Linked DNA regions of Rhinolophus ferrumequinum. The protein of the gene in region 2 interacts with the protein of the main gene of each other region in a pairwise test. Links are inferred from orthologs where the notes say so. Each region holds a gene or a part of one and is shown on either strand. Other genes may lie near its edges.

Evidence for each region. The genes of interacting proteins can lie anywhere in the genome.
Region 1: the proteins of PAK5 (region 2) and INKA1 interact in binary tests that used the Homo sapiens proteins (3 or more experiments, as listed by UniProt). The two-hybrid records come from large-scale screens. The link is inferred for Rhinolophus ferrumequinum from reciprocal best matches to the Homo sapiens genes PAK5 and INKA1.

The regions. Positions count from the first base shown.
Region 1 is NC_046300.1:6,671,216-6,681,575, reverse strand, and holds INKA1 (PAK4-inhibitor INKA1), read left to right. Parts: upstream 1-6,762; 5' UTR 6,763-6,908; coding exon 6,909-6,959; intron 6,960-7,722; coding exon 7,723-8,523; 3' UTR 8,524-8,557; downstream 8,558-10,360. Other genes in the region: CDHR4 (cadherin-related family member 4), read right to left, coding at 1-25, 325-418, 657-810, 905-1,088, 1,379-1,515, 1,781-1,887, 2,513-2,623, 3,108-3,199 and 3 more; UBA7 (ubiquitin-like modifier-activating enzyme 7), read right to left, coding at 8,823-8,952, 9,421-9,521, 9,601-9,693. UniProt on the Homo sapiens protein: Inhibitor of the serine/threonine-protein kinase PAK4. Acts by binding PAK4 in a substrate-like manner, inhibiting the protein kinase activity.
Region 2 is NC_046306.1:30,611,376-30,622,729, forward strand, and holds the start of PAK5 (serine/threonine-protein kinase PAK 5), read right to left. Parts: upstream 5,570-11,354; 5' UTR 5,161-5,569; intron 1-5,160.

The DNA of each region.
Region 1 (10,360 bases), on a different chromosome or scaffold from region 2:
ACCATCACCAGTACTGGCACCTCAGCTGGAGGCCATTAGGTAATTAAGGAACTGGCCTGGGGTACCCAGCCCTGCCCTGGGCGTCTGAGGAGGGAGACATGTCCCTGCCCTGGGGAGAGGGTCTGGAGGAAGGTAGGGCAATATCCCTCCCCTGCTGGGCGTGGTCTAGGAGAGGAGAGATATGCCCCACCCTAGGGGTCTGAAATGGAGACAGCCCTGCCCTACCAGTTTCTGAAGGACGAGAGATGCCCCCGTCCTGAGGATGGGGAGAGGGGTACAGAACAGCCCTGTCCTGAATGTCCAGGCCTGGGTATGGTCACTCACTGGTCATCCGGGGCTGCCCACCATCGAGCACCAGGACGGAGGCTGTGTGCTGAAAGCAGTCCCCACGAGTGTCACAGTCCAGTGTGGCATTCACCTGGCCACAGGGTCCAGAGAATAAGGCCCAGCCTCAGCCTGGGAGAGCTTTGAACCACACTGGGCTGCCTCAAGCCAGGGCATGCACAGATAGCTTACCAGGACCCCGTTTTCCGCACTGCCAAGCAGGTAGGCTCCACCACCACTCCTTCACCCCTATGGTCTCAGCTCCCACAGACTCTTGGCCCACCCCCCATCCCCTCCCAAGCACCCTGCACGTGGGTCTGGGGGAGGGTCACCTCCAGGACCCCGTCGTTGAGACAGAGGCTGGCTGGGCCAGGAGGACTGTGGAATCGCAGCTGGTAGTCAAGGGTTGAGCCAGGAGAGTCCGGGTCAACGCAAGTAAAGGTTCTCAGCACGGTACCTACAGGCGCGGTCTCGGGGATTTGAGCCCTGGGAGCAGAGCGCCGGCGGCAGGGTGGGAGTCGGGCCCGGCCGCGAGCCGTCAGTCCTCCCAATGGCCAAGGTAAGGCTCGGGTGTACTCACATCAGCAGCGCTGGGAGGCAGCGCGGGGGCCAGCGGTTGACCGGTCGCACGGTCACAGTGAGATCGAGCTCAACGCTGGCCCACGGCCGGAGCCGCTCGAAGGCCTTCACCTGCAGCGCGGTGACCGCCGAGCCTGCGGCCGGCGCCAGCTCCAGGGGCGCCGTGGTCCGGATAACGCCGTCCGCTGGGAGGCGTGAGAGGGTGGGGGACGCAGAGTTCGGCTCCGCCTCCAGCTCAGTTGGGTCCCCACCCGCCCACCCGAACCGCTGTCTGCGGAGGGCGCTGAGCCTGGCTGGCCCCCCGCGTCACCTCCGCCAAAGCGCCTCTGTAACTCCCGCCCAGCCCTCAAACGCGACCTCGACCCATTTTCTGCCTCGGCTCCAGCCTCGTTTCTCAGGATAGCGAGAAGGTAGCGCAGGTCACCTCTGAACCAGCCTCAGAGGCATCCTCGTACCCCCGCTCCACACCCCTCACCGCGTCCGATGGAGAAGAGCCGGCAGGGCACGGGAGAGAGGATTTCGTAGCGCACGTCGAAGCCCCGAGCCTGGACCTGAACCACCTTAGTCCCAGGAACCACGTCCTCCGGAATGGTGATATTCTGTTCCTGTTCCCTGAACCAAAAGGGGGCCACTGGCTCCTGCCGGATCCCGTGTCCCCCTTCCGCCCCTCCCTCCCCCCCTCCCCCCCCCCCCCCCCCCCCCCCCCGCCACGTACACCCCACCCCGCCCGGTCCTCAGGCCTCCGCTGGGACTTCCCTCAGACTCGGGCTAGCTGGGACGCTCCAGCAGCCCCACTTTAACCTACTTCTACTTCCCTGGGGCTAGGCCCTGCCTCCTTCTGTACCCAGTACACTGTCCCAGGGTACAGAAGCCTTACAGGAAGGACACCTGGCCGGAGGAGGGGGCAGGCAAAACTTTCACCATCAGCATCCCTCCGCAGCTTTGGTTTTGTCCAAAGGTCACCAGGATCTGAAGCCGGAAGACCTGTGGTGGCACAAAACAGGAAAGGAACCCCGGTGTGCATCTGTCTACCTGTATGTCTATGCTCAGTCTTCCCTTCAAGTAGATAATCCCTTCAGGATCACCACAAGGAGCCCCAACGCTTGCTCACTCCTCCCCAACACCTGTCACTCTGCTGACAGGTATTCCTTTGAGTCCCATTCTTTTGGGCCACAAATCCTTCTATTAGGATGCAAACAGCCCCCAAAAGAGTGATATCGGAGTCGTTCACAATATGACTTATCTTCGAGTGGCTAAGAGTCAGGTACAAGACATGGAAGTTTTCAAGAAGGAACTTCCCTCCTTCAGTCTGCACTAGACACTTTACCCAGAACTTTCCCTTCCTGTGTGCCTGCTCTGAACTCTCTCCTTTCTATTTAAGGCACCGTGAGCTCCCCAAACCAGGGATCTCTCTTCTTTCTGGAACTCCAGAGCCCACCACAGAACCAGACCAAGGTGGGAGGACAGTCAGAATGGGGCAGCAGGTGCAGGTGTGGGCTGTGTCTGGGAGAGGCAGCATATGGAGGAGGCCAAAGAGACCAAGCAAAACTCCAGGAGGTGGTGGCTCTGCCCGATCCATGGATGTACCCAGATCCCAAGTTATGCTCACCTTTCCAGCCTGGCCTTTGAGGCCCTGGGGTGGTGCCTGCAGCCAACCCTGCCCATTGATGGAGAAAGGTCCAGGGAAATACGGAGGCTCCTGGGCACTGGTGATGCTCATCTGACAGGACAGAGATGCTGGAGGCCCCAGCCCTAGCCCCAGTGCCCCAAGCATCCCTGTCAAAATCCCCAACGGTCCAGCAGGTACCTCCCCACACCCAACTATACCATACCCCACCACTGACACTTACCCTAGCCTGGGGTCCCCGGGCCCCGATCCTCAATCCTTTCTGCTTTTAAATTATTTCTTTTGTTTTTTAAACTACATTTACTTTTTGGATTACAAACGTGATACAGAATTTTCATGGAGAATTCAATACACACAGAACTTGAAAGAACTCAGCCCCTAAGAGTTTCCTGTAAGAACAGCCATGGTCACTGGGGGATGGGAGCCCTCTGTGGCTGTCTCCAAGAACATGTATCATGCAGAGGCTCAGCTGTACATTAAAGGGTCCCTCTGCAGGCTGCGCTTGGCCAAGCAGGGGCTGGGCTTGGTTTCCCTGTGTTCCCCCATTCTGCCCCCACTGCCCATGTGCTGGGCTCACCTGGGCTCCCTGGATTTCCAGGCCTGGGAGCAGCAGAGTGTACAGCCGGGCCCCAGGTGTGACTGTTTCCGGCACCTGAATGATTTCCCCAGCTGGCCAGAGGGAAGGTCAGGGAGGCTCTGTTCAGGCCATGCCTGCCCACCCACTGCCTGCTGCCCTGGGCTCACCTGGGCTGGCAAATCGGCCAGCACACTGAATATGGCCAGCGTCCCGCTGCACATCCACAGAGAGTGGTCCCTCCATCACATAGTTGCCACATGTGAACTGCAGCTGCAGCTCATAATGGTTCACTGCCAGGGCATCCAACCTGGCCGAGCTGCTCAAGGTCACCTGTAGCAGGTGGGCAGTGATATGGGGCCCAGGCTCTCCCTTGCCCATACCACCCCTGGCTTTGTGAATTTAGGGTCTGAGCTTGTTTCTCCATGGTTCCCAGCTGTGTCCATGACCCTACCTTGCCCACATAGATCCCCTGCCACCTGGTCAAGCTGGGTGGGTTGAAGAAGGTGGTGTGTGGTTGCACACGGAGCAACTTCAGGGTAGGCGTGTAAGAAGAGCAGTTAAAAGTGAAAAACTGAAGAACGGTGCCAGGTCCCTGGCTATCAAAGACATTTACGGACGCGGGCAGGCAGTAGAGGTCTATGAGGAAGAGACGATAAGGCTGGAGGCCACCCAAGCTCATGGAACCACACACAATAGCATAGTCCTGCCCTTCTGCCAGAGTCTAGCCACATCTTGGGACCAAGCAGACAAAGCCCTTCCTTGTCCCCCACATCCAACAATGAGTCAGCTCATTTCACAGACGGGGAGTGAGGATTTGGTCGAGGAAGCAGCCAAGAAAAGAATGAGGGTCAGGGGTTCAGATCTTTGCCCTTTCCTGGCTCCCACCCCCCAGCCCCTGCCCTCCATGGTAGATTATCTGACGAGGGTCAGGACTCCACTCCTCTGTGGAGCAGAGAGGTAAAACCTCGGGTTCCCCACCCACCAGCTCCTCACCAGAGACGACCAGGGCAAGAAGTACCAGGGGCCTCAGTACCATACTGTCCTCAAGAGATAGACAGTAGAGGAGACTCTGGAAGGCCAGCCGTATTTGTTGGGCCCGCCCCGTTGCCAGGTGGGTTGTCAAACACACTGGGTAGGCAGGACTCCTGAGCCTCCCAGACTGCAGTCCCACCCAGCCCTGGTGACTGAGCTCTAGATTCCAGACAGGCGCCCAGAGGCCCCATTTTTCCCACTGCTCCCAATAAATTTCCCTATTCATTACTAAAACCTGAAGGAGATGTGAGAAAAGAACCAGCTTCAGATGAGGAAACCAAGGCTCAGGGAAGTCTTGGCCATGTAGTCCTTGGAGACAGAGCAAGACAGTACCCAGGAAAATTGGGCCCAGGCCCTGCTACCCCACAGAATCTGAACTCCAGCTGCACCCCCCCTCCCCCCGGCCCACTGTTAGAACATTATCTGCCTACAGAATCTGAGCCGAATGATCAATAAAATCTCTCAAAAGTTGTTTACCTTCATCAAGCAAAAGGAATCCTTGGTGATAGAAACCAAATAGTAGTTATTTTAGGTGATATCAATTGTAAGGGGCACAAGTGGCCTCCTGGAGAGGCTAGAGATATCCTGTTTTGATCTCGGTGATAGCTGCCCAAGTGTCTACAGATGTTAACATTTATTGAGCTGTATCTTTGAGAATTGTCCATTCGTTGTATATATGTTATACGTCAGTTTTTAAAAAGCTGTCTACATTTGCTCTCTCCATTTCTTTACCTCTCACTCTCTCTTCTATTCACTACAATCAAGCTTGTCCCTCTTTCCATGAAACTGCCCTTGTCAGGGTCCACAGAGATATGCAGACTGCAGAATTCAAGAGTTCATTCTCCACGCTCACTTCCTTGGCAGCATTTGACACTTGTTCCCCGTGACTCCTTAAGTGCCCACACTCTCTACTACCTCCCACCTCTCTGGCTGCTCCTGCTTAGCTCCTTTGCTGGTTCTGCTTCATCTTTCGTACCCCCACCCAGCAGGGTGTTCCAGGTCTCAATCCAGGCTGCCGTCCCCTGTCTAAACTCACCTCTCCCATCACATCCAGGCACGTGGCTTTACGTACCATCCACTCCTCCTGCCTCCCAGATGTAAAGCTTCAGTGCTGATCTCTCTGCCAAACTCCAGAGGCACACACCCAGTGGCTGCCCTTGCATCTCCTCTTGGAGGTCTGACAGGCATCTCCAGGGTCACATGTCCACAAATGATCATTTGATTTTCCTCCCCAAACCCACTCTTCTCCAATCTTTCCTGATTCAGTTCATGACAATCCCATCCAACTAGATGTTCAGGCCAGAAATCTAGGAGTCATGCTTGATGCTCTCTTTCCCTACTCATATTCACGCATCAGCAAGGCTTGTTTTTATCTCCAAAACATACCCCAAAGTGACCCCCTTCTGTGCACCAGCCCCACCCAGGCCCAGGCCCTACCCTCCCTTGATGGATGAGGGCAGGAGTCTCCACCTTGATTACAGAGTGGTTCTCCCAAAGTAGCTGGGATTATCTAAACAGGAGCCAGCCCAGGTTATTCCCTGCTCAATAGCCCTCAATGCTCCCCATCACACCAAGAACAAAACCCCAGATGTATTCCTTTCTAAAGCTGCTAGGCTTCTGGTTTTGCTGACTTTTTCACTTCTGCAACGCCTACCATCATAGACCCCGTGGACCTCTTTACGTTAAGCCCTGTTCTCCTCCTGGACTCTCAGGGCCTTTAACTGGCTGATCCCTCTGCCTAGAATGTCCCTTCTTGATCTCCCCATGATGGCTCATCCAGATCCCATACAGAATGCCACCTCCTCTAAGTGCCCTCTCTTCCAAGCTAGCTGGTCGCCCTCATTCCCTGGTGTTTTTCTGTCTACTGACTCGTCCGTCTCCAGTGAGACAGTATCCTTGAACGTAGCCTGCAATCATGGAGCGCCTCAGGGAACACGCTCCGACCATTCCCGCCAGAGAGCGTCGCCCTAAGCCCCTGCACGCACTCTCAGTCTGCTCGTAATGCCAGGCGGAGAGGACGCGGGTGTTGCGGCAGGAATCACGGCTAACCGCGCGCTCCCCACTAGAGGGCGACCCGGCCCAGCTTGGCCCAGACGCCGGGCGGAGAGAGTGCTGGCTCGGCCTTGGCTGAGGCCCCTGCCCCGTGCTGCCGCGACGTCCCGCGCTCCCGGAGTCCTCCCATCACTTCCAGGGATTGTCCAGGCCCGCTCCAGGAGCGGATCCAGAGGGTCCGGCCCACAGTGGGCCACTACACTGCCGGCCCGACGACTGCGTGTGCTCTGCCAGTTCCCCATGGGCACAGCCGGGGAACCCGCGCGCCCACGGGGTCCCTGCGGGAGGGACCGCAGTTCTAGCCTAGGAAAAATGCGAAAGCTGAGGCTACCGCGAGGAAGAGACTTGTTCTGGGTCACGCAGTGAGCCCGGAGTCAGTTCAACCGCCCGGGGCATCCGGGAGTCCCGGGTGGAACTGCCTCCAGCCTTCCCAGAGCTGGAGCTTAGTGGGTAGTGGGCGTGGGCATCGCCCACCCAGCCGGGCCCGAGGGGCGGGGCCACTTCAGCCCCGCCCGGGCCCCATTGGCTGCGGCTCCAGGGGCGGGGCGCGGCTGCCAGATGTTGGGGCGGCGGCGGCGGGACCTACGGAGAGCGAGGAGCCGCGGAAACAGGCAGAGGGTGAGGGCGCCGCCGGCCCGCCCGCCCGGCCCCCTCCGCACGGCTCCCGCTGGAGTTAGCAGAGGAACTGGCAGGGCTGGCGGGAGCTCCGGCGCGGGCATGCACTGCACTAGGCTTGACAGCTTCCTGGGCCAGCTCCGCTGGGAACTGGTGAGCCTTGGGAGCGGTGTGACTTGCAAGGACACGTGTGGTGGGGTGCTCGGCTGCGGTCCGGCCCGAACGACACGCGAGTGGGGGGGCCGTCCGGAGTGCTCTTCCAAGGCGGGATGGGGGCGGGGCGGCCCAGATGGCCCAGATGGCCCGCGTCGGGTTTCGGACGGTTGGGAGTTGCAGTGGGCATCAAGTAACAACCGCCCAGCTGGCCGTGCTGCCGGGGCAGCGAAGGGAGCTGGGGAGCGGGGGTGGGGGAGAGAAACTTCTTCTCGGGTGGAACAGTGGGCTTCGAGGGACTAAAGAGGTGCTGGCGCTGCTGGGGATGCCTCCTATCCCAGGCTGGCCTGTACCTCCTTCCTCTATCTCCCAACTGGCAAATGCTTTATCCTGCTCGGAAAGACGCTGTGGGCTTTGGGGAGCTGAATCTCTCAAGAGGCCCGGGATGCCCCCCTCCCCCCAGCCCTGAGCAGGACCTACTTCCCGATGCAGGCCCGCAACCCTGCCTCCCGCCCTGGTGGCGGGTGCCGACTTGCCTGGCTCTGCGTGCTGCAGCCTGCCGGACTGCCACCAGGTCGACTTGTGGGAGCCACACGAGCTTCGTGTGCCAGCACCCCCATGCCCTGTGCCCACTAGAGGCCTTGCTGCCCAGGCCTGCAGGCCTGTCCAGTCCTCCTGGGCCTTCAGTTCTAGGATGGGCCTGGCCAGGCAGGCAGGGATGACAAGCCTGCCCCTCCGACTTCTGCCCTCTCTTCTTCCACAGCTGTGTGGCCGGGACACAGGATCACCCCCAATGCCTGGCCCCCTTCAGCCACCCCACAAACCTGGCCCAGGTGTCCGGCTCAGCCACCGGCTCAGGCCCTCAGATACCTTGGAAGAGGACTCCGTCTGCTGTGTGGAGGAAGAGGAGGAAGAAGGTGTGGTGACAAGAGACAGGGGTGTAGCTTTAGGAGGCCCCAAAGAGCATGCCCTGGACTGGGACTCGGGCTTCTCTGAGGTGTCAGGCAGCACTTGGAGAGAGGAGGAGCTACCTGTATTGCGGCATCCAGCACCCCCAGTATGGCGACCCCACAGACAGCGCCTCTCAGCCAGTGGCATCCCCCTATCCAGCGGGACCCCAGTGACCAGTGCACCACCTGCTCAGCGGCCACGGCCCAAGTCCACCCCAGATGCCTGCCTGGAGCACTGGCGGGGGCTGGAAACTGAGGACTGGACAGCAGCCCTGCTGAGCAGAGGTCGCAGTCGCCAGCCCCTGGTGCTGGGGGACAATTGCTTTGCTGACTTGGTGCACAACTGGATGGAGCTGCCTGAGGCAGCAGGTGAGGGAGACAACGGGGGTGGGCCCCGTGCCCGTGCTCGCCCCCCCCAGTTCCTGCTTGGCCTCTCTGAGCAGCTGCGGCGCCAGCTGGCCAGGGCCCGCCGGGCAACTATGGCAGGAAAGCGACTGTCATGCCCACCTCGCCCGGAACCCGAACTGCCTGCAGACGTATCACGCTTTGCAGCCCTCATGAGCTGCCGCAGCCGCCAGCCCATCATCTGCAATGATGTTGTCAGCTACCTCTGACCCTGCCCTCCAGCCTGGGACAATAAAGACCTTTCTCTGCACTGTCCTGGTTCCGTATGCCTGAGTCTCCTGGAGGCAGCCCTAGGCTACGAGGCACAGCTCAGGCAGGTTAATCTAAAGAGCCTTTTCCCTCCCTCCAGGGGTCCCTGTGTGCCCTTGTCACAGCCCATGTGCGTCACTGCCCTGTGTTTCATCACCCCTCCTCTCCACTTAACGCCTTTCTTCAATAAGCATTTATTGGGCGCCTACTGTGGGCTCAGGATGCAGCGCTTGACTGCTGTGGTAGGGTTGCTGCCGTGTCACAGCTCATAGTGCACGGGTGGGAAGGCAGTGTCGTCGTCCTCACCTTCACAGCTGAGCTCCAGTACCAGCACCCGCTGCCCAGGCTCAGGCACCCAGCCTGCCACCTGCCTCACCAGTTCCGTCACCCTGGAGGGAGGAGGAGGGGAAGGGGTTGGGGGAGACTGGGTAGGTGAGCAGTGCCAGTCAGAGAGTGCCCTGGCATGGGCTAGAAGGTGCTGATACGCCACAAGGAGCCTGAGTCAGGAGCAGGAGCAGCTCAAGACAGGAAACATCTGAAACTATTTTCGGAGCGGCTGGCAGAGCAGGCAGGAGGCAGGAAGCTGCGAGTCCCCTGGGAGTGGGCTATGAAAGGGGGCTCAGCTGGGTGTGGAGTCGCTGCTGGGGCTGGCCAAGCAGGCAGCTCCTGGAGGCCCCTCCTCAGGCTCTGGGCCCTCACCCCACCCCCAGCCCATTTGCTGGCTCCATTTGGCAAAAGAAAGCTTCAGGAAGGTGTGAGGGGCCCAAATGGGGTTGGAAAGAGGAAAGGCTTTGTGTCCCCCACTTCGAATGGCCAGGGACAGAACAAGGCCTGGCTAAAGCCAGGTGCGGGCTCACCTGAGGGGCAGGCGCGCGGCCTGCTTTTCAGATGGCCATCCTGCCGAGTAGAGCAGGGCGGTGCCTTGCAGCAGCATCTTCACCTTCAACCCATATTGTTCCTAGAGAGAGACAGGTCAGGTGACAGCTGGGCCAGGTTGGGCCAGGTGGGGATCAGGGATCGGGAGGAACGGGGCACACCTGGAGATAGGCCAGGAGTGACTTCAGGGTCCTCTCTGGCTGCTCAGCAGGCACCTTCAGGCGGTCCCAACAGGTCCACTTCAGGTCCTGGAACTGTGGTGGGGGGCGCGGGGGAGGAGTGAGAAGCTTCCCACACACACACCCTACCCCTATCCCAGTTACCAGAGCTGACGGCCCCTTTCCTAGAGAAGGAGCTGGACTAGAGGCAGGAAGCAGAAGCCAGGGGGTGGGGGTGGAAGGTGGGATCTGAGCCCAGAGTCTCAGCACCCTCCCCGCCCCATGCTGGGGCCAGCACAGGAAATGGGGCTGTGGGGCCCCCACACAGGGAAACAAGCAATCCATCACGCTAGCTGGTTGTGGGGGGGGGTGGGGGGGGCGGCGCTTCCTGAGGAAGCAGGAGCAGGGCTGTTGAAGTCTCTGATAAAGCAGCTTATTCCTCAAATGCAAGGCCGGGAGCTGGGGAATGGGGGGGGCGTCCTGTCCCCTTGTCCCGTACTGCCAGGGCTTTGGACTACTCATGGGCACACAGGGGCAAGGAAGACAGTGACCACTGAGGCCCCACTGGCCCAGAGACCCCAGCAGGGACACAGCCCACAAAGGCCTCCTCTTCCTGTCCCCTCTTTCCTTCCCTATTTCAAGAGTCTTGGGGTTCTGGTGCCTGGAATTGAGGGCAGAAGGGTGGCAGGCAGCCAGGGACCAGGACAGGTGACCCTGCCCAGCCCCCAGAAAATACAGTGGGGTCAAGCAGAGGCAAGACCTG
Region 2 (11,354 bases):
ACCATTTTATAATATCCATCTTTCTACCCAAGAATAAGGAATGTTTTCAGTTTTGTTCGCTTATTTTATGTATCTAAGTAAAATTTTATAGTTTCCTATCTAAGTCCTTAGATATTTCTCATTATTCCCAAGCATTTTCTGTATATTTACTTTTTTCCTAGGTAATTTATTATTTTTGTGGATTCATAAACAGAATCATTTTCTATTGTATTTTTTAGTTGGCAAATACTGGCATTTTGTGTAGCCATTGATTTTTGAACATGTATTGTATAAGCAACCACCTTACTGAAATCTCTTATTAGGTCCTTCAGGTTTTAGCTGACTCAATTGTGTATTCATCAGTTTAAACAAAATCAAGACACAATGTCTGATTTTTCGTTATTTAGGTGAAAAGTTATACTTAACCGTATGCATTAAATGGTATTTTTATTCATTTTTTAAAATCACCTTTTATGTGAATAATGAAAAGACATGAAATTGAGGCTACTCAAGAAATCCAAAATGTAACCTGTGCTCCATTGTTGAACCCCATTCATTTCCGTTGGGTACTCAGTCTTGCAATTCAAAACTACCAAAAAGAGCTCTGAATGAGAGAGACATTAAGTCACTTCTCACTTAGATTAAACAAGACAAATAAAACAATTCAGCTGGTAATGAAGAATTTTGACTACTGTAAAAGGCAAAGAAACACACCTGGAAACTGTCCTCATATGAAGAGCCATTTGTCTCTTATTTTAACCTCAGAGACAATAGGCAGAATGATGTTTTAAAGCAGAACAGGGCCCACCTAGATATATTCAGAAAGCAATTGCATGAGCAGATTCCTTTGTCCCCAGATAAACATATTTTCTATTTTAAAAGATCAGGATAATAGAATCTACCAATTATTATATCTACCAAATATCTGTTATACATCTGATTTGGGTTCTGTGTTATTGAGAAAAATTGGAGGACTAGTTATAGTAACAAGTAGGGATAGGGACTGATGAGAACCTGGCATATAACAGAAGCTCAATAAATAATGTTATTAATTATTATTACACATAATATTATTATTTATTATTATTAATCTCTAGAAGGCTAAAAGTCTAGTTCACCATTGTCTTCCTAGGGCCTAAAATGGCAAACATAGATGTCCAACAAACATTTCCAAAATATTTGTTGACTGACTGATGTATTTTTGCAAAATGTTCAATTGCTAGAAAATATTTTGACTCAATTCTTAACTGCTTGCATAAAACCAATTCTTAGGATAGGCAGTTTTAAAAGCCAAGAATACTACTCTTTTGAAGTCAGAATGAGATTCTAAATTGCTCTTTTTATACTAGTAAAAAAAACAAAAATTTGCTAAAAACTCAGATCTTTAAATTGGCACATAAAAATGCTATGAGGAAGAGTATTCATTCCTTCACTCATTCGCCAAATATTTATTGAGCATCTACATGCAAAACACAAAATAAATGGCCATCACAGAGCTTATAGACATTAAGTAAATAGGCAAACAAATAAATAGGTAATAAGTGCTATGGATGAAAAGTAGAAGGGTAATGAAAGATTTGTTATGGGGAAGGGAAATCAAAGAGGCCCAAAGGATGAATACAGCTTGGACTGGCAAAGTATAGGGGGAAGTGGCTGGAATATTCAAGAAAGAGACAGGAAATTCAAGAAACACACTGATATTCAAGAAACACACTGTCACACTGATCAGTGTGACAGCAGCCAAGAGGAAGAGGTGCCCGAGACCGAGGCAGACCAAGTACCCAAGGCTATGAGAGTCTGGGGAATGTCTCCCAAGCATGTGGATACATTTTATGCAGGGATTGACATGATCCTATCTTTTCTGGATGAAGGATTGGAGGGACCAAGCAAGCAAACAGGGGCCTTTTTAGAAAATTACACTAATAATCCAGGTGAGAGATGACGATTTAAAGTTTGATGGTGGGGATGGAAAGAAGAATCTATCAAGATATATTTAGCAATATAAGTAGAAGACGAATTTATAAGATTTTGTCACAGTTTTAGATGTAGAAGGCAAAGGAAATCTCCGAAGTTATCAAAGATGATTCTTAAATTTCTTGCTAAAACAACTCTAAGGATAGTGGTGCCATTTACCAGGATAAGAAAGCTTAGAAAGATGTTAAGATTGGGGCGTTTTTGTTGCTGTTGCCATTTTTGTTTAATTTGGTTTTCTGTCGTTTGTTTGTATTCTATTGGTAGGGTAGCAAAAAGGAGACAACATTAACAAATCCATTTGAGACAGGGTATGTCAGCTATATTACCTGAACTACACTGAGATCCTAGATTGTCTGGGTTTCCAGATAAGTGACAGTTGTATAAATGAGGTATGCTTGAATGCTATTCTTCCCTACCATGGTTGGGTAAATAAAACCTGAAATAGGTTAGCTGGATTAAATAACCTTTAAAGTATTTTTTTGAACTGATACTACTTCTACCTTCTGCATGTGTGCTGACATAATATTAGTGTTGTCATTAAACACGATCATAGGGATGTAGGCGTACTGCACTGAATAGTGTTCCCCCTCAACCCCAAATTTACATCCAACCAGAACCTACAAATATGACTTCATTTGGAAATAAGGTCTTTGCAGATGTAACAAGTTAAGATGAGGTCATACTGAATTAGGGTAGGCCCTAATCCAATATGAATGATGTCCCTCCCTATAAGGGGGAACTTTGCCACATGAAGATACCCTGTTTCCCTGAAAATAAGACCTAGCCGGACCATCAGCTCTGATGCGTCTTTTGGAGCAAAAATTAATATAAGACCCGGTATTATATTATATTATATTATATTATATTATATCATATTATATTATATTATATAAGACTGGGTCTTATTTTACTATAATGCAAGACCTGATGGTCCGGCTAGGTCTTATTTTCGGGAAACAGTAGATGAAAGCAGAGACTGCGGTTCTGCTATCACAAGTCAAGGAACACCAGCAGCTACCAGAAGCTTGAAGAGGCAAGAAAGGATCCTCCCTTAGAGGCTTCAGAGGGAGCTTGGCCCTGTCCATACCTTGATTTTGGACTTCTAGCCTCCAGATCCGTGAGAGAATGAATTCCTGTTGTTTTCAGCAACCTAGTTTTTGGTAATTTGTTATCACAGCCTTAGCAAACTAATAGAGTTGGAACATTAAGGAGATCACATATTTGAATCTGACTAGCATAAAACAGGGCACACAGTACAGGATAAACATCCATTTCCCTTTCTCTTATAACGGTCACCACCAATTTCTTAATAGTTCATATTATGAGTAATCTACACAGCTACCCATTTAGGTAGGTCTTACGTACCTAAAGTCTTTCTAGACTTGTTTTACAGGTGAGGAAACTGAGGCTTGGGAAAGTTAAATAACTTGCCCAAGATCACAAAGCTAAAATCAGGAGAGTCTAAGCTCAAACTCAGGTCTGTCTCATCACCAAGATGATACCAAAACCTAGAACTCCCGCTTCTCACACTTGCAGCATTTTAGCAAACTGACAAAGTGGAGGGGATGCACTGCCAAATGTGTTTTCAATGCCTGCAATTAAAACTCACATTTATTTACAAAATAACAAATTACAGGGACCTAATACAATCAACACATTCACACAGGAATAGAAAATTTTTATTCTAAGCCCATCAACTTCTATTGCTTCCATTAGCTGTGCTTCTGCTTTGCACATATGTATTCCAAGTCAAGATACTATCAGATTGGACATTTATGACTTTAATTTACTTAAATGCATTTTCTTCAAGCATTTCCCATTTCATTTTGATGATACTGACTAATTTTTGCTACCTAAGGAGACCATAAAGTAAAGACTGTATGTACAGAGGGAAGTGTCTAAACTTTGTAGTCGCAGATGTCCATTCTTTAAATTATAAAGCAAAAAATAAAAGCATATTCTAAATTTACCTTCCCTTCCTAACCGAGTGAGTTGTGCTGCTGAATATAACAGATATACAAATATAAGGTGACAGAAATGTTATTATGGGGTGTCAATTTCATAGAATTGTAGTAACATCTAGTACATTTGGACTCGGGTAAGAAAGAGTGTTAACATGCTACCAGACCCCAAAAGAGCAAAGGATGTGGTGAGGGGTTCCTGAGTTAGTTACCTAAGACATACTTCTTGACAGAACTCTGTGGAATGCCAGGTTTCCTGATTTCCCCCAAAGTGCATTCAGCTTTCTAAGCTGTCATCAACTATTAAGGAGGACACTTACCTCTGGCTTTGTGCCAACTTTTTTTCTTTATTAATTTGGCCTTAAAAAGCCCACAACAGATAGCCCCAATGCTTCCAATTCCCTTAATTGATATCTAATGTTGAATTAACTTGTGTCCCATGTTTAAAGCTCCAAATATACAAACATGGGTTCAAGAAGGGCTAACACGCTTCTCCAAACTGGGCTCTCATCTCTGGACTGTTCAAGTTTGCCCTACGGGAGGCCGACATAACACTGAATTTTGACAAGAGTTTGGAACCTAGATCCTTTTCCACGCTCTGCCCACACCTGTGCCCATGAGCAGAAGTTCTCTCTCCATTAAAACCTACCACGCACCCATACGCGCGCGCACACACACACCAAGGCAAGTAACAAAGGAAAACACAGCCCCAAAGGGACTCAGCTATTGCATCTTCCAGTCTATACCTGCCAAGAGACAAAAACCGTACGGGAATCCTGCCCTGGCAATATGTCCAACACTCCTCAGGAGATGCAGGCACCGTGACACCCCCGGGCGTGTGCGGCTGTTATACACAAAGAACTGGTGCTGGGCTTGCTAGCGGTCTGGGGGGACCAACGCACTCCCAATACTGGTATCCGGCGTTCTCCCCCACGCCCTCCCACCCAGCATAAAGGAACTATCCTTTATTTGACCGGTGGAGAGAGCCAAGGCTGGATGGTAGCGCATGGGTGGGTGTGTGGGAGGGAGGCGCGGGGCGGTCCCCGGATCCCTTCCTTCCAGGCAGCCGGTCCCCAGCCTTTGACATCTCCTAGGAGATGCACAATTGCGCGCTGTCACAGATGTCCGCTTCGCATCCTTTCCGGGCAAAGGAAGATGCCCCGGGTCCCAGCCGTGCGCATCCTCGCAAGCGCCCCTCCCCGTGCCCACATCCACCCAGGCAGCCCCGCCAGGCGCGCCTGCCTACCTGGTGGCTGGCTGTCAGCGAGACGGCGGTGCCTCATCCCCTTCGCCGCCTCGGCTGCTACATCGCTAGGAGCGCCATGTTCCCGGTCTCCCCGGGCGCACGCCGGGCAACTACTACGGTCTGGGTAGGGGCAAGGGGGCGGGGGCCGGCGGGAGGGGGTGGGAGGCGCAGCCAAAGCTTTCTACTCTCCACCCAAGCCTCCCCCAGCTACTGAGCATGCCCAGCTCCCCAGCGTCGCCCCTAGGAGGACTTTCCGTGATCACACGCAGCTGTTCCGGGTTTTCGTGGCAACCGGCGGCAAGCCGGCGGTAGCAGCTGCTGGGGGTGAGAGTAGAGAGGTGTCGGGGGAGGGTCGGGGGAGTGTCTACACTCCGCTGAGCCCCGAGCTGGAGAAAGCTGCCTTTTCCTCATCCAGTCACACTTATCCTCTATCCTCCCAGGCGAGGGCAGCTCCTGCAAGCCTCCTCCCCACACACTCCGGTTTTGCAGAAATTTTGTGCAGGACCAATGCAGGGCTGAGATTTGCTTAAGAGGCGAGCCAAGAGTAGGAGGGGCGGGGCTGGGAGACAGATCCTTCCGCTAGCCTCATGGCTACCACCTGGACACAAGCTTCTCAAACTTCAATGTGCCTGTGAATTAACATGTGGATTCAAATTCAGTTGGTCTGGCCGGGGGCCTGAGATTCTACTAGCTAAACATGCTCCCAGGTGATGTGATGCTGCATGCAGGTCCTGCCACCACACTTGAGTAGCAAGGATCTAGAGAACCCCACTCTTACCTCCTGGTCCAGAAATGGTCTCTGGTGTCCACAAGTAGTGTGGCCGCTAAGTGAAGGTACCCCCGGGGGTTGCTGTGCCGCCTTGGCAGGAATCTCAGTAGGGCTGAGCTCCACAAGCAGCCTAAACTGGCTACTTTCTGACAGAATTTGTGGCCTAGAGGAAAATATGTGCCTTGATCTCTTTGCTCACTTTGCTAGGGGATAGCAAACTAGTTGTTAGTTGAGCCTCTAAAGTCGGAACTAGTCTGCCTTGGCTGTTCCCCTGCCTTTCCTGAACTGAGACAAAAACTCAGACGCTGCATCAGTGTCAATTTATTATACATGTAAGGGTAAGACTGGACTTGTCCATTTAAGAAGACTGATAAGAGTAGAGTGTTTATGTACCAAGAGTTGACCGAGCTTTCTGATGAGTGATGTTTGAACTGAAGCTTGCAGAGATAACTTGTGATTCATCTTAAACCCCTTTGTTGCCCCCTCCCTTCCCAACCCTCAAAGGCTCCAGCATTGTCAAGAGTATTCACTATCCACACCACAGTGAGAGACAGAGATTCACAAAACCAGTCATGAGTTTTGGAAACGAAGAAGTCTATCTCCAGATGCCCTAACAGTACCCTCATGAGTCAGTGACATAGTATCTGACCCCATAACTGGATAGCAGATTATAAATAAGAGTTTGTATATATTGGTACTCTATTATACTCAACAACTCTAAACAATTTTCTAGTTAATAGTATCATATATGTCACTTCCTTCTTGCTTGTCTTCCATTCACTCAATACCCTCAGTGTAGTAGCTGCCACATGAAAACAGGAACCATATGATAAATGTATGCTTACTTTTCTCCCTCAATATTTCTCTGTATAAAGGATAAATATGTCCTGGTACATTGTACTCTGTTTTTATGTTTAAATGAATAAGAATCTCTAAATCCATTTCTTATTCTTTAAGCAACTCACACCGCCCTAACTACCAACCCACCACCCACACTTTTATTTGCATAAATATTTTCTATATTTGACTTTCTTTTATGTGTGCTGGCACAGATGCAAAAGCTCCAAAATATTTTATAGAAGTGTTGTTTATTTGTGATTGATTGGTATCAATTAAAATTTGGCTTTGTATTACTGAGCTTTAATCACTTAAAACAACTTTGCTATTATAGATAAAGCTTGCGCTTGTGTGGTTATTTTTACTGGTTAAATACTGTGATTATTGTTAGTTTCCTCAAATTCATTTAGGAGTTATACAAGGTAAACATAAACGAGTAATGGTACTATTTCTGTAAATATTACACTGCATTAAGTCCGAGGTGTTTTCTTTTTATATAACGCAATTTCTTGAGAATTTAGCAGGCAAGATGTTGATTAAGGACCAACACCTGTGGGTGTGAGATACAGGAAACAAGTGGGCAGTGGTAGAAGTCAATCTATGATGCAGGCCAATGACAGTATTGGCCACCAGCACTCCAGGAAGCTCTGGAGCTAGGATGACCCTTCAGAATTGTCCCAAGTTAGTTTGAGTTGTCTGGTCCTTTTTATACTAACAGTAATCATTGAGTGTGAAATATCTTGGAAAGGGCACGAACTTGAGGCAGCTCTCTGAAGCTGAGGCAATCTCTGAAGAAGAGAACAGCTAAAGGCCTTCCCTCAGCAGTAGTCCCTGAAGCTGGGGTAACAGGTCCTTCACTTAAGGGGGATCTGCATAATACATTACTTAGTCCACATAATACATTTATTGAATATATCATTTTTGAATACACAAAGTAGACGGATTTATCCAGAGATTTAAAAGTTGGAAAATAAAATAACCTTTAATCAGCCATTGGGAGTTCTTAGAGAAGTCATTGAGAGAATGTGACCACCGGTTGACCCATGAGCTGGAACTGGGCAATCAGAGGCTCCTCATCCCTCCCATGTCCTTGGAATGTACTCTCTGCCCTCTGTTCCCACAGTAGGAACTGGCTTCAAGGATATGACCTTGATAGAGTAATGTATTGTTGAGACCATCTGGAGAGTATACAAGACTGAACCCAGTTAAGGCCTCTATATAAACTTTTAAGATTCTAGAGAATGGGTACAGAGATTTACTCATCTTGCAGCCCAAGACAAGCCTCCTCGTAAGTTTCCTTGCTTATTAAAATTGCCACCTATCAATCTGCCTCTTTCTTAGTTCTCCTTGCCCTCTCTATATGGGGGCCAGTATCAGATTTCCCCTGGAACCTCCTGAGTTTGCTTCTTTTACACTATCTCCCCTAGAAAATAGAAGAGGAGGATGTACTTCCTAACTTATTTTATGAGGCCAGTATCACCCTGATACTAAAATTAAATAAGCACAGTAGGGGGGAAACAAAACTACAGACAACTATGTCTTTTGAACTTTAATGCAAAAATCCTCAAAAAAATTACCAAACCAAATGTTACAATGTACAGAAAGAATTGCGTATGATGATCAGGAATGTAGGGCTGGTTTAACATTTAAAAAATTAGTTAATATAATCCACCATACGAACAAACTGAGAAAGAAAAATATGATTATATCAATTGATACAGAAAAAATATATGACAACTCTAACATGCATTCACGATTAAAAACTCTCAGCAAGTTAGGAATAGGGAAGAATTACCTCAACTTTATTTAAACTGACTACAAAAAAAAAAAACACCTAGCTAACATCAAACTTAGTGGTGAAAGACTGACTGCTTTTCCTTTAAGATGTGGAACAAGGCTAACATGTCTGTTTCCACCATCTTGTTCAACATAGTAGTGGAAATTCTAGCCACTACAATGAGACAAGAAAAACAAGTAAAAGCCATTGGATTGGAAAGGAATAAATAAAACTGTCTCTATTTGCAGATGACACGATTATCTACATAGAAAATGAAAAAAAAAAAAAAAGTCTACAAAAATAACTCCTAAAACTAACAAGTGAGATCAGCAAACTTGCAGGATACAACATATACACACAAAAGTCAACTTTATTTTGCTATACATGCAGAAAATAAAATTTAAAACACAATGCCACTCACATTTGCTCCAAACAAAATGAAATACTTAGGTATACACATAAAACATGTATGGGATCTGTATGCTAAAAATTACAAGATACCAATGAAACAAATCAAAGAAGACCTGAATAAATGGTGAAACATACTGTGTTCATGAATTAGAAGATTTAGTATAGTAAAGATAGCAATTTCACCAAAATTTATCTAAATGTTTACTTAAATTCCTATAAAAATTTCAGTGTGATTTTGTATAATTGTCAACTTTATTCTAGTATTTATATGGAAAGACATGGGCTCTAGTATAGCTAATCAACTTGACAAAGAAGAATAAGATGGGAAGAACCACTTTTTCTAATATTAAGGCTTTACAGTTATCAAGACAGTGTGATATTTGCAGAGGGATAGACATGTAGATCAATGAAACAAAACAAAGAACCTAGAAATAGACTCACAAATGTGACCAACTCATTGTTGACAAAGGTGCAAAAAGCAATTCAATGGACAAAGAATAGCTTTTTCAACAAATGGTGCTGGAACAACTAGATATTCGTAGGCAAAAAATGAACCTCCCCACAACTAACATCATACTCAGTGGTGAAAGACTGAAATCTTTCCCTCTAAGATCAGGAGGAACAGGCAAGGCTGACCACTTTTGCCACTCCTACCTACATAGTACTGAGAGTTCTAGTGAGAACAATTAAACAACAAAAAGAAATAAAAGACATAAAAATTGGAAAGGCGGAAGTAAAATTACTTCTGTTTGCAGAAAATATGATCTTGTACGTAGAAAACCCAAAAGATTCCATACCAAAAAAAAGTCAGCATAGATGAATTCAACAAAGTTGCAGGTACAAAATTAGCACACAAAAATCAGTTGCATTTCTATACACTAACAATGAAAAATCCAAAAAGGAAATTAGGAAATAATTTCATTTTCAATAGTATAAAAAACAATAAAATACTTAGGAATTCATATAATCAAAGAAGTGAAAGATTTGTGCACTGAAAACTATAGAATGTTGTTAAAGAAATTAAAGACATATATAAATGAAAAGGCATAACATACATGTTCATGGATTAGAAGACTTAATATTGTTAAGATGTCAGTACTACCAAACGCAATCCCTAGAAAAATCTCAATGATGTTTTGTGCAGAAATAGAAAAAAATCTATCTTAAAATTCATATGTAATCTCAAAGGACCCAAATAGCCAAAACAATCTTGAAAAAGAACAAAGCTGGAGGACTCATACTTCCTGATTTCAAAACTTACTAGAAAGCTACAGTAATCAAAACAGTGTGGCACAGGCATAAAGATAGACATAAAGACCAATGGAATAAAATAGAAAGCCCAGCAATAAATCCTCACATATATGGTCAAATGATTATTGACAAGGGTGCCAAGACCATTTAATGGGGAATGAACAACTTTTTCAGCAAATGATGTTGGGAAAACTGGATGTCCATGTAAAAAAGAATGAAGTTGGACATTTAGCTTATACCATATACAGAAATTAACTTAAAATGTATTTTAAAAATCTGAACATAAGAGTTAAAACTAGAAAACATAGGGAAAAATCATCATGACATTAGATATAGCAATGATTTCCTGTATATGACATGAACAGCACAGAAATCAAAAGAAAAATTAGATAAACTGAACTACATCAAAATGAAAATCTTCTGTGGAAAGGATGCAATCAATAGGGTGAAAGGGTAATCCACAGAATGGGAGAAAATATTTGCAAACTATATATTTGATGAGACTAATGTCCAGAGTATTAAAGAACTCCTAAAACTCAATAAAAACAACAACAAAACCCAATTTAAAAATGACCAAAGCACTTGAATAAACATTTGTCCAAAGAAGATATACAGATGACCGATGAGCACATGAAAAGATGGTCAATATCAGTAGTCAGGGAAATGCAAATCAGAACCACAGTGAGAAGCCACCTCATACCCACTGGGATGGTGATACACATATTAAAAAAAAAAAAAAAAGAAAAGAAATGTTGGCAAGACTGTGGAGAAATTGGAACCCTTGTGCATTGCGAATGCAAAATGATATAGCCACTATGAAAAATAGTATGGCTATTCTTCAAAAATTTAAACAGAATTAACATATGATCCAACAATTCTACATCTGGGTATATATCCAAAAGAATTGAAAGCAGGGACTTAAACTTTTACACCAATAATCACAGCAGCTTTGTTTACAATAGTCAAAAGGTGGAAACAACCCAAATGTTCACTGACAGATGAATGGATAAAACAAAATATACATACAATAGAATATTATCTAGCCTTGAAAAGCAATGAAATTCTGATACAGGTTATTAGGTTGGTGCAAAAGTAATTGCGGTTTAAAAGGTTAAAAATAATTGCAAAACCATAATTACTTTTGTGCCA